Linked DNA regions of Drosophila melanogaster. The protein of the gene in region 1 interacts with the protein of each later gene in a pairwise test. Each region holds a gene or a part of one and is shown in the gene's direction. Other genes may lie near its edges.

Region 1 (3,756 bases):
CTTATCTGTAACCCCCAGAGTTCCGTGAGTGTTTTTATCTGTTCGCCCGTTCGGGCCAAATCAACAATTTGGACGAACTAACCGTGAGTTGAGCTCCCACCCCAGAAAAAAAAAACATACTAATGGTGTAAACTTCACGTCATCAGGTTATTATGCGTTCTTTGGGTCTTTCGCCGACGATCCAAGAACTGGTTTCCTATCTGAAGCAAAAGAATGGGAAAATGAGCTTCGCCGACTTCCTGGACATCATGCATCAGCACTCCAAGGTGGAGAGTTTGCCGGACGAGGTCATTGCCGCCTTTAAAGCGGCCGATCCGCAGAATAAGGGCACCATCTCGGCCAGACAGCTGCGTAATCTACTTCAAAACTGGGGAGAGGGCCTGTCCATGCGCGAAGTGGACAACATCTTCCGGGAGGCCAATGTGAACAACAATAGCACTGTGCGGTATGCAGACTTTGTCAAGATTGCATGCGCCCCAGTTCCCGACTACTATTAGACTGCCTTTACCATAAAAAAACATTCCAGTAAAGTACTCCAATTTTCGCACAATAAAGTTGGCCAAATGTGTATGGAAAAAGTTCTTTGTTTTTATTAGCACGCCAAACTTTTCGAGGTGTAAAAATGTGGCATCTGCCGATCTTAGTTGGCGATGGTGACCTCAACCTCTACGCCGGGCTCGATGTTGATGGAGGTAATCTTCTTGACGATCTCAGAGGGCGAGTGCAAGTCGATGATGCGCTTGTGGATTCTCATCTGGAATAATGTAATATTGATTTAATATGCAACTCCATTGGCAAGCTAATAGCTGAGTCATTATTAATTAGTTTTGTCGCATTCAGAGAGGCAAAGTGTGAGGAAATACCAACAAATTGTACTATGAGAATACGTTTTATCTGGGCAAATCATTGATACTGTGGAGCGACTGGTTGAATGCCCAACCACGATATCAGATTCGCCCGTTTGTTACTATATATATTATAGGGGATAACCCACCTGGAAGCGATCCCAGGTCTTGGAACCCTCACCACAAGGAGTCTTACGGGTGGTGATGCGAAGGGTCTTGGTCGGCATGCGCACGGGGCCCTGAAATAAATGAATATTTAAGAATTAGAAAGGAATTCCTCATGAAAATGGGTATTGTAGCCTGAACCATGTGATATTCCAGCTCTGCAGTCGATCAGTGCGGGAATAATGTCCGATTCTGGCACTTTATCTAGCATTTATTAATGACTAGGCTAAGCGTCTGGGGGAACGCAAAGCCTCCAGGTAAATGCAACCTCTAAATCCCTGAGTTGGACGCAAAATTCTCACCTTGACGCGCAAGTTCTGGTTCTTTGCACCGTTGATCAGGTCGCGGCACACATTCTCCAGCGAACGCACGTTCCTGGATGTCAGGGTGATGCGGATGCGGTGCACAGAGGCAGAATCGCCGACATGGGGCTTCTCAATATCCTTGGGTGCAGCAGCCTGTGGATTTGGCGGAAACATCGATTAAGTGGGGTTAGGTTGAACGGCCATCGCACGTGCACGGTATTTCGTGTTGGCAAGGGCAATGCAAGCACTACTATTGACTCGCAGTAGTTGCGGATTGTTCGGCAACAGCATTCTTACCATTATTTAGCAATTTCCCTGGTCGAGATATTCAAATCTTTGTATTTTGAGCAGCGCTGAACCAGTCAATTTGCTGGTTGAAAACGAAGAGAAGTTTTACAGGGTGTCCACGGTAGACCGTAGCTTCAATCTTTAAAACACCCTAATTATGCCCAACTGCATTTGGGGTGTTCCTTGAGCTAAATATTAGCGGGGTACTAATACTAAACCCCTAACGGTGAAATCGTACACATATTAGATTGATTAAATTTTGAGTTGTTAAATGGAAGCATCAAGTTTGTTTTTATGATTTTTTTTTTCGGTTTGAAGCATGATAATATTATCTACGCGCATACCCCTAACCCAGGCGCGCAGTGTTGTCATGCCGCTCACACGTTTCGTGGCGAATGTCCGCACTTACCTGAGAATCAGCTGTCGCTCGCTGCGAATGTCCACCGGCGAAGAAGAAGCGATTTGTGTACGTGTGTGTTTCGTCTTTGCGACGTGGTGATTACAGAGCCACCAGAAGCGATATAGATCCCAAACCGATCCGATCCGATCCCCGCCAGAATCCAGCACTTCCATGCAGATGCGCGTCACGGAATTGCCAGCAGTTCAGCTGCTGCTGCCCCTAATCCTGATTGGATTGGCCAGCGGACAGCGCGTCGCTCCCGGAGTGAATCCGCAGCACTATGTGAGTGATTTGAAGCACCCCCATTCGCCAATGAGGGAATTAACCCACACATATTGCAGCAACAAGTGCCGCAGCAGGTGCCGCAGCACCACCCACCGCCACCACCGCAGCACCACCAGCCGCAGTACCAGCAACAGGTCCACTCAGCACCCGGTGTGCCGCCCCAGCAATACGTGAGTGCAAATGCGCATTTCCGAATGGCAAGCAATTAACCAGTAGGCCTCCGACTTCCAGCAATACGAACAGGTTCAAGTTCCCGTGCAACAGCAGGCACCGGTCCAATATCAGCAAGTTCCTGTGCAGCAGCAGCAGCAGCAACATCAACCAATCCACCAGCAACCGACGATGCAGCAACAGCAACAGCCGCAGCAGGGGCACCACCAGCAGGCAGGTGGCCACCACCATGGGCAACCGCAGCAAGTCCTAAACACCGGCAACATTCAGCAGGAGCGCGCGTAAGTGCCCGTCTATCTTATCACTGCCACTGGCAATCATTATCCATCAATGGAGCTTTAGGGTATACGAGTAAAAATGTCATAAATAAATCATAAAAGTGAAGGGAGGTATTTTGTTGTACCGCAAACCTAAGGCTTAATTAGGAAAAAAGTCTATAAATTAAGCATAGTGACATTTTCATACAGCAAATGTTTCCATTCGCATTTAAAGAAATTATATATCAAAAGTTCCATGTTAAAAGTAAATTAGACATAGTACTTACATAATATTTCTGGGCTGATCTATTTCTTCAACCAAATCAACGATCAGTTGGATCTAATACCAAACCTTACTCTTTCAATTTCAGTCACATCCAGGAGCACATGCAAGTGCCAATCGATACGAGCAAGATGTCCGAGGCTGAGCTGCAGTTCCACTACTTCAAGATGCACGACTCGGACAACAACAACAAGTTGGACGGCTGCGAGCTGATCAAATCGCTGATCCATTGGCACGGTAAGATAGCTACTGCTTTTTAATCTGGCTCGCTGGTTAGAGTTGCGTTTGTGGTTTCTGTATTTCGTTTTGTTTGACCCACTATTCTGTTCTACTTCTTTGCATATGCGTAATAAAACTGGGCTGTTTCCGGTTATGGTTGTGGTCATGCTCGAATCTCATGCTAATCCATCTCGCATCCGCCATAACAAATCATTGCCATGCAGAGCAAGGCAGCAAGGAGCAGCCGAACGGTGAGAAGCCGCATGTGGAGGAGAAGGTTTTCTCCGACGAGGAGCTGGTGGCCCTCATTGATCCCATCCTGCAGATGGACGACACCTCACGCGACGGCTACATCGACTATCCGGAGTTCATTAAGGCGCAGCAAAAGGCCGCCGAGAAGCAGCAGCAGCAGCAGCAGCAACAACAGCAGCCGCACGAACAGCAACAGCAGCAGCAGCAGCAGCCGGTTCATTAGTAGTCACCCAGATGCGTTCAGTTTACATACATAAAACCATGTCCTCGTCCCGCGCTCTGTGAC
Region 2 (3,756 bases), 5.4 Mb from region 1:
ATACCGCTTGACGCGCACGGAGGAGCCCTTCCAGGAGCTCAATCGTAAGTCCGTGGCTCTCAAGGTGATCCTCAGCCGCATACCCGATGAGATAAACGACAGGAAGACCTTCCTGGAGACCATCAAGTAAGTAAAAACTCAAAATGAAGCTAAAACTCACTGCATAAGCTTAACTGATTAATGAATAATGAAATTTTACTGCGTTTTACAGGGAAATCGCCAGCGCCATAAAGAAACTACTCGATGTGGTCAACGAGATCGGCTCGTTTATACCTGGCGTAACGGGCAAGCAGGCTGTGGAGCAGCGTAAGAAGGAGTTCGTCAAATATTCCAAGAAGTTCAGCACAACGCTGAAGGAGTACTTCAAAGAAGGACAGTAAGTATTAAGAATCACCTGCAGTGATTATTTACTATATGTGTTATCAAACGATACGCTGCGACGCCATGACAGCCGGTTTCTTTAAATCGGCTCATATCTGGTTTCTTATCGTTTCGGGCCAACCGTTGAGATGATGTCATTCCATTGGCATTCCGGGTATTGTTTGGTTTATCATTTTGCGCCGGAGATTCTGAGGGGCGGATATTAAGCCGGACCCCCGCCCATTTTAAATTGTAAATTGCTTCGATTACGTACTAATGGCTATTACCGCTGACCTTTTCATGAAATTGGGGCCAAATTGCATTACTAATTCAAATTGCTTCAGCAAGGATTTTCTAACCGATTCTCTTTTATTTTATCTATTTTCAGACCGAATGCAGTATTCATAAGTGCACTTTTTCTAATACGGCAAACGAATCAAATAATGCTGACAGTTAAGAGTAAATGCGAGTAGAGAATTAAATCCTTTAATTATGGCAAATTAATTAATTAGTGGCATTTTAATTTTATGTTTAAATAACCATTTAACATACCAAGACCGAAACAAATCAAATAAACTCAACACACTTAAATACAAAATCGCCCGACGCAGTCCAAGTTAAATGTTTGAACGTAAATGAAAATCTGTTGTAACTAAATAAATAGGCCTAATTTATATCGTATATACATATGTATTACACATACTCGGACACAAAATTTTGCGAAGCCTAAGCATTGTAATTAACTAGTGAGCAACTATTTATGGAGACGGACGATGTGTGCGAGAGTTTATTTTTCGTTTACAATTTATTGTAAATAATTCATTCTTTTTCTGTTAACAAACAACATCGGCTAGTTTGTTTTTGTTTAGGAGAAGCGCCTACGAATAAATTTAAAATTAGTGGAAAAAAAACGAGAAACAGGAAATGTATGTACTACGGGGAGATGACAAACAAAAACATTAACGGAACACTTAAATTTTTAACTGTTTTTAATTGTTAGAGTTTGAAATTTAAACACTATACATAATAATCTTTTACTTAATGATATGTTCTATTTGAAAACTGCGAAAGCGAAAGACATTAGTGGCCGACAGCACTATCAACAGGATGGAGAAAAAATTATTTTAATTAATAAAATGTTATATGAAAATCGAACACTAAGCAAAAGTAAAAGAACGGCAACAAACTCATAATGTAGACATAGCGAAAAGAAAACGACAAATAAATGTATTTATATTCCAAAATTGAAAAGAGTGTTTCATATTTAACCAATTTACGTAAAATTACTTTATAATTTATAGTATTAGGTGTGGTATGATGTGGAAATAATTGTTTTATATTACCCGAGAATTGATTTCGAAAATCAGAGATTGGTAAACTGAAATCAAAATCTCAGATTTACACGCACATGTCGTTAACAGAGGACAGCGCTGTTAACGGATAACAGCCAAAAGTAATAGTAAACCCCCAATAACAGGCCCTGAGCAGAAATTTACCCAGTTGCAACCCCAAAGGAGTCCTTCTGAGAGCGGGAGAGAATTGCCCGTTTTTCAGTGTCATTTGGCAGAAAAATCGATTCCCCGCACACTGAATAGTGGGCACTGGGTACTGAGTGCTCGGCTCTGGGTTCTCTGGGCCACTCTGCTCTGGCACACTGAGCACCGAGCTGGCAGTTGGGTAGAAATCAGAGTGCGCCAGCAGCGCGACCGAGATGACCCACTTTTCGGTATTCGCACTGAGACCCAACTGCTACTACCCACAGAAAGTGGACAACTAGGCGGAGTTTTTTTCTATATAGTAGCAGTGAAACGATCGCGTTTTTCGGATATATTATGTACAGCCTACGTAGCCTAGTGTAAACTATATGCATTTATGTGAATTTCCCAGCGCAAACGTGGAAGAGGAAAACAGGCGACCTGAAAAAGCAGCAGCAGCAGCAAGCAAGAAGCAGAAGCACAAGCAGCAAAAAAGGTTCGCAACCCGTTCAAAAGCCCCCGAATACAAAATATTACAAAAAGTTAACCCAAAAAGAAAGGATAAAATCCTGTGCTTCCGAAAACGAAAACCGCAGTTTAAGCAAAAAGTGTCAAAATCGCGTGGTAAATACTTATTTTGCGCAAGCTGAAAAAAAGAGCTGTTATGCGAGCGAGCGAGCTCACGAAAAATTTCGCTGTACACCAAATGTTTGCCCAACAGCACCGCTGCTGCGTGAAAATTTCATTTTCTCGCCAATAACGTGAAAAAGCTCGCCGCGAGTGCAGTTAAAAAATCCAGTGAAAGATATAATGATTCCGGGAAAATGGTGGGACAGTGAAAAGTAAAAGTGTAAGCATATCGATAAAGGCAAAAAAAAAAAAAAAATACGAAAAAGAGCAGCCAGCGTAAAACTACACTCTCCCACACACACTCACATGCATACATATATCCAAACATATACATATACATACTCGCCCACATGCTGATGCATATACAATATGCAAATGCGGGTAATCACTGTAAAACCGAGGCAGGCGAAATGGTGAATGAAACCGAAATTATAGAAAAATGCCTAAATAAAATCGGAGAAATTGGCTAAAAGCAGAGTTCAGCTACATTTTGGCACAAAAAAGCGCGCACCCACACACACTCACGCATACACCCGCCACACACATACAGAGAAAGCGAAAAGAGCGAGAGGCATGTAAGTAAAGTAGATGTAAATGGCCAACGAAACTGGAGCAGCACCAATACCACTGCAAGTGCCACAACGGCAGGAGCAGCATGTGTGTGTGAGCGTTTCATATTCATAAGCTTCCAGCAGCACCAGCAGCAGCAGCAGCAGAAAAGTCCCACTTTTTGGGTTCGCACTCTGGGGGCGGTTTTCACTTCACACTTGTCCCACAGCCTGCGCAACAACAATGTTAAAGTTGTTTGCTGCTGCGTGCGTAACACACATACTACATACAGTGTACACCCACCACACACGTTCGTGTGTATGTACGTATGCATGTACATATGCATACATATATATGTACACTAAAGGTATCTACAGCGTGCATGCGGTTACCGTTACCTTCTCTGGAGCGGTGTTTTAATACCCGTAACAGCACTTTCCACCGATTGAATGCTTTCACGTATTTCGTATATATTTATAGCCCACTGTACTCAGTTTCCACTGCAATGATCGAAAGTCACGCGTCGATGGCCTGGTACACGTTGCGGATACTTAATACAACATTATCACAACCTAGACGGGCTTATTATGAAAAGAAAGTCTTCATAGCTTCCTTCTATAAATATGTAGTTTTTTCTGTAGATGAATTAAAACATAATTGGCCAAATTTAAATTAACATGTTGCATATGTATTTAATACATGAAGAACTCAAATGTGCAACTATTCAATTGAATTTTCCTTT
Region 3 (3,756 bases), about 11 Mb from region 1:
GCATGGGCGGCCTCTGTTTTACTAAGACAACCGGGGATACCGTAATCTCCTGGCCATCTATCTGCCCGCCATCCATATGCTTCATGGCCGACTCACAATCCTCGGGTGTGGCATATTCCACAAACGCCACGCCGCGTCCGAAGTTAGGATGAAAACGATCTACGGGAAACTCCACATTCTTCACATCCCCAAAGCTGCTAAATATCTCGAACACATGGTCCTTGGTAACGTTGCGGGTAAGCCGACCGACATGAATGCGCACCTGTTTGGGCGAAGGCGAGCGAGTCCGCGAACGGGAGCGCTCCCTTCGCTTCGGTGGCGGCGTCCTCTCAACGGAGCCGCGACCACGACGGCGTGGCGATCGTGAACGACTGGCTGAGCGAGAACGCTCCCGCTTAACATTATTGCTATCGGCGGCTGCCCTATCGTTGGATCCAGCACGGCGGGCACGATCCCTCGACCGACTACGACGATCGCGATCTCGCTCCGGCTCTTTTCGCGCCTTGCTGCCCGGTCTTGGAGATTTGGAGACACGCCTGGGGGAACGGGTGCGAGAGCGGGAACGTGATCGGGCGCTGGGCTTATCCTTGTCTTTGTCTTTGCCAGCAGCGCCGCCGCCACGTCTTCGGTTCTTCTCGCTGCGATCCGAATCGCTGGACGACGATGATGAGGAGCTCGAGGAGTCGCTGGAGCTGCTTGAGCTGGAACGCGATGACCCGGAACTGCTCCGCGAAGAGCTGCTGTCCGATGTGCTGGAAAAAGTGAAGTGTTTTATTTACTTCTCGTAACCAAGAAAACGGCAATGAAGCTGGTACAAAGTAAAACACTTCCTAACTGTGATGAAATTTTACCATATATGGTATGTGAATTTTTACAAAATCTTTTCGCTCGAAGGCTATTTTCTTCCCGTACTATCTGCTACGTTTTACAGAAGAAGAAGGACTTCCTTTTAAAAGTAACCCTTATTCCGGTTGGCAGATGGCAGCCATTTGTGGGAAAGACCTTTGCCGGCTGATTTACCTGCTTCTGGAGTCGCTGCTGGAGGACGCCGATCCGCGGCGTTTGCGTTCGCGGTCCCTGCGCGAGGAGCCGCTGGTCGCCTTGCCGTCCTTCTCTTTGGCGACCTTCTCCTTGTTGTCCTTTTCCTTCTCACCCTCGCCGGCGAGACTCTGGGCACGCGCCCTGTTTTTTTTTATTTGTCGAGAAAAGCGAGCTGTTTTAGACCATTTAGGGAGCAAAATGTGGTGCAGATACTTACATTTTCGTATTGCCGATTTGTTAAACGATTAGTTTTATAGTACCGCACACTCTTTTAGGTGCAAGCTAAAATGTTTTTATTAATAAATCTTGTTTTTCTCAACTAGAGTTAAATGCGAGTAGCGTTTTCAGTGGAGATTAGTGTGGCCGTGTTTGTGAACGTGTAAATATGACAAAAAAATAGAATACACACTTATTAAAATAAAATCCAGTTCCTTTACTTTGCTATTAAAAAACTGTTTTGCGAATATTAAGAAGCATTTTTAGTTAAATATAAATAAATTTCTTTTATAATATGCTTAAATCTCAAATTCTAGTATACAAATGTTTCTAGAGTATTTGGGATTAAGATAACAGACACCACTTGGTAATTTCTCACAGTCTCGCCGCGGCCACACTCTTTGTCAGGTCGAACCCAAGGTAAACTCCCATAAAGCGTAAAAATTTAAGACCTTTCCTGCCTAGCAATTTGGACTCGATAGGAAGTAATAATGTATACCGTGTAATATGAATAGTGCTTGTTTTCGTAACGTACGAATGTAGTGGAATTACATAAAACGCAATTGATTTAAGGCCAGCACTTTTTTATCTGCTGGTGACGAAGTGGTTGTCATTGTGAGTTCACATCCGTGTGCCTGTATGTGTGTGAACTTGTGTTGATTTTGTCCATGCGAGCAAGCGAGATAGCAAAAGGGGGCCGCGGGGGCTGGCCACAGCCACAGAGTTTCGATTTTCCATCCATATATCTACACTCGCAGCGGAAACGAGAGAGAGAAAGAGAGTGTGAGAGAGAGGAGCGCCCCGTCTGGTCTGGGCACATTTTACCACACTGCGTCTTTGTCTGCCGTCGAGTCGGGAGCTCCGCGTCTGGTGTGTAGTATTATTATTCTTAATATTTCGGATTACTCTGCCTGTAGCTCAATAGCAATATTAAAACCCCGCCCCGAATGCTTTGCGTTGAAAAACATATCTTAGTGTGTGTGTGAGTGCAAAGTGCAGTTATGTTGTGGCAGCAGTCAATGCAAATTAACCAGTGTCTATACCTCAAAGGCACATTTTTTTAGCCCCATCATCGTGTTTTGAAACGCCACAGCGCAGCGTAATTGCCAAAAACCAGCTAGCCAACAAGAGTTTCGTTGGTATACATATCCATATATTCATATAATCAATGTGTGTAAAGAAAACGAAACTAAGAAAAGCGAAAAAGAGCATTCGATGAAGTTGACTGTCATGACTACGCAATAGCAACAACAATAGGAGCTGCCAACAGACACATGTATGCACAGTAGGTGGGTCCTCTCACGTGCTCTCAGTGCCGCTCTCTGCTCTCCCTCTCTCGGTTTCTTTGTGCATCGGTGTGAGTGTGTATGTGTGTTGGGGTCCGGACTCCATGGAAAAAGCGAATATTTTGATGCCTGCTTCCTTGTGTGTATATGCGTATATTTTTTATAATTTATTGTTTTAATTTTGAGAGGGCGTAGTGTGACCCCAACTCGAACACCGACCCTGCCCAAGTATGCATAGAAGAACGCGCACACACATTTGTGGTCAAAATAATAGTTAAATTACGGAAATGTAGTCTATTTACAATGTTGAAGGAGAGCACCGAAGAGGTCGCTCTTTATATACATACATACATACATAAGTATATGTTATCGCTGCATTAAGTCTTATAATCTATGTTTAGAAATGCACTTATCTTATCTTTATAATAATATTTACCACAAATACCCTGATCAAAGAGGGGTTTTATGCCGTGACACAGTCGTTATACGAAGAGGGTGCTTCCAAAATCTTAGTGCTTCCATTTTAAAAGCATCGAAATTTATGTTATGAAAAGAAAAAGAACTTCTTATGCTAAGAATATATCACTATATAATTGCGGAGAATATCTTTGGGGTACAAATTATAGAATTCCATTATATAATATATATAATATTATATAATATATATAATATTTCTACTTAAATGTCTGTTTTAAGCAACACTAACCTTCTTCTTAGAAGAAACTTTACTCCACTTCAACATATTCAAGTAACCATTTCTCAGAGACTACAAACCAAAAATAGTTTACAGCACTATTAGTTTAACTGCAACTGTATATTGAACCACAATTACAACCATTATCGTTATGATAAACAAGCATTTGTATATTGTACTGCCTGCCTATATTTTACGTCTAATTTGCATTACATTGGCATTAATACTCATTGGCCGCAATTAAAACCAGGCTTTATATATATAGATCTATATTTTAATATTATTCCACATATACATACATTTATTGCTAACCAAACTAAACCAACCCAAGTAATTAGTTTCTCAACTGAATGTAATAGCAATGTTTTCTTTTACTTTTATTTTCTTTGTTTTAGCATACATACAATATTTTATTGCTGGTTTTGGTGGTAAATTTGCATTGTTAACGGCCGCGGCCAGACGTGCCCCGCTTCTTTAACACACACGTCTCTCAAACGAATACCGATCATCAAGTGTTTC

What was found.
Region 2: the proteins of CG17271 (region 1) and Rbp interact in a two-hybrid assay, tested with the Drosophila melanogaster proteins (one large-scale study listed by BioGRID).
Region 3: the proteins of CG17271 (region 1) and mura interact in a two-hybrid assay, tested with the Drosophila melanogaster proteins (one large-scale study listed by BioGRID).

Annotation. Positions count from the first base shown.
Region 1 is NT_033777.3:20,820,130-20,823,885, reverse strand, and holds the start of CG17271 (uncharacterized protein), read left to right. Parts: upstream 1-2,037; 5' UTR 2,038-2,174; coding exon 2,175-2,285; intron 2,286-2,344; coding exon 2,345-2,458; intron 2,459-2,519; coding exon 2,520-2,740; intron 2,741-3,087; coding exon 3,088-3,236; intron 3,237-3,442; coding exon 3,443-3,693; 3' UTR 3,694-3,756. Other genes in the region: CG17272 (uncharacterized protein), read left to right, coding at 19-83, 147-497; RpS20 (ribosomal protein S20), read right to left, coding at 641-754, 995-1,084, 1,313-1,468, 1,613-1,615.
Region 2 is NT_033777.3:15,372,638-15,376,393, forward strand, and holds the start of Rbp (RIM-binding protein), read left to right. Parts: upstream 1-1,997; 5' UTR 1,998-2,224; coding exon 2,225-2,331; exon of another isoform or gene 2,332-3,040; intron 3,041-3,756. Other genes in the region: Ccm3 (cerebral cavernous malformation 3), read left to right, coding at 1-126, 212-376, 749-833.
Region 3 is NT_033777.3:9,549,687-9,553,442, reverse strand, and holds the start of mura (murashka), read left to right. Parts: upstream 1-2,104; 5' UTR 2,105-2,127; intron 2,128-3,632; exon of another isoform or gene 3,633-3,756. Other genes in the region: RnpS1 (RNA-binding protein S1), read right to left, coding at 1-752, 1,021-1,182, 1,259-1,260.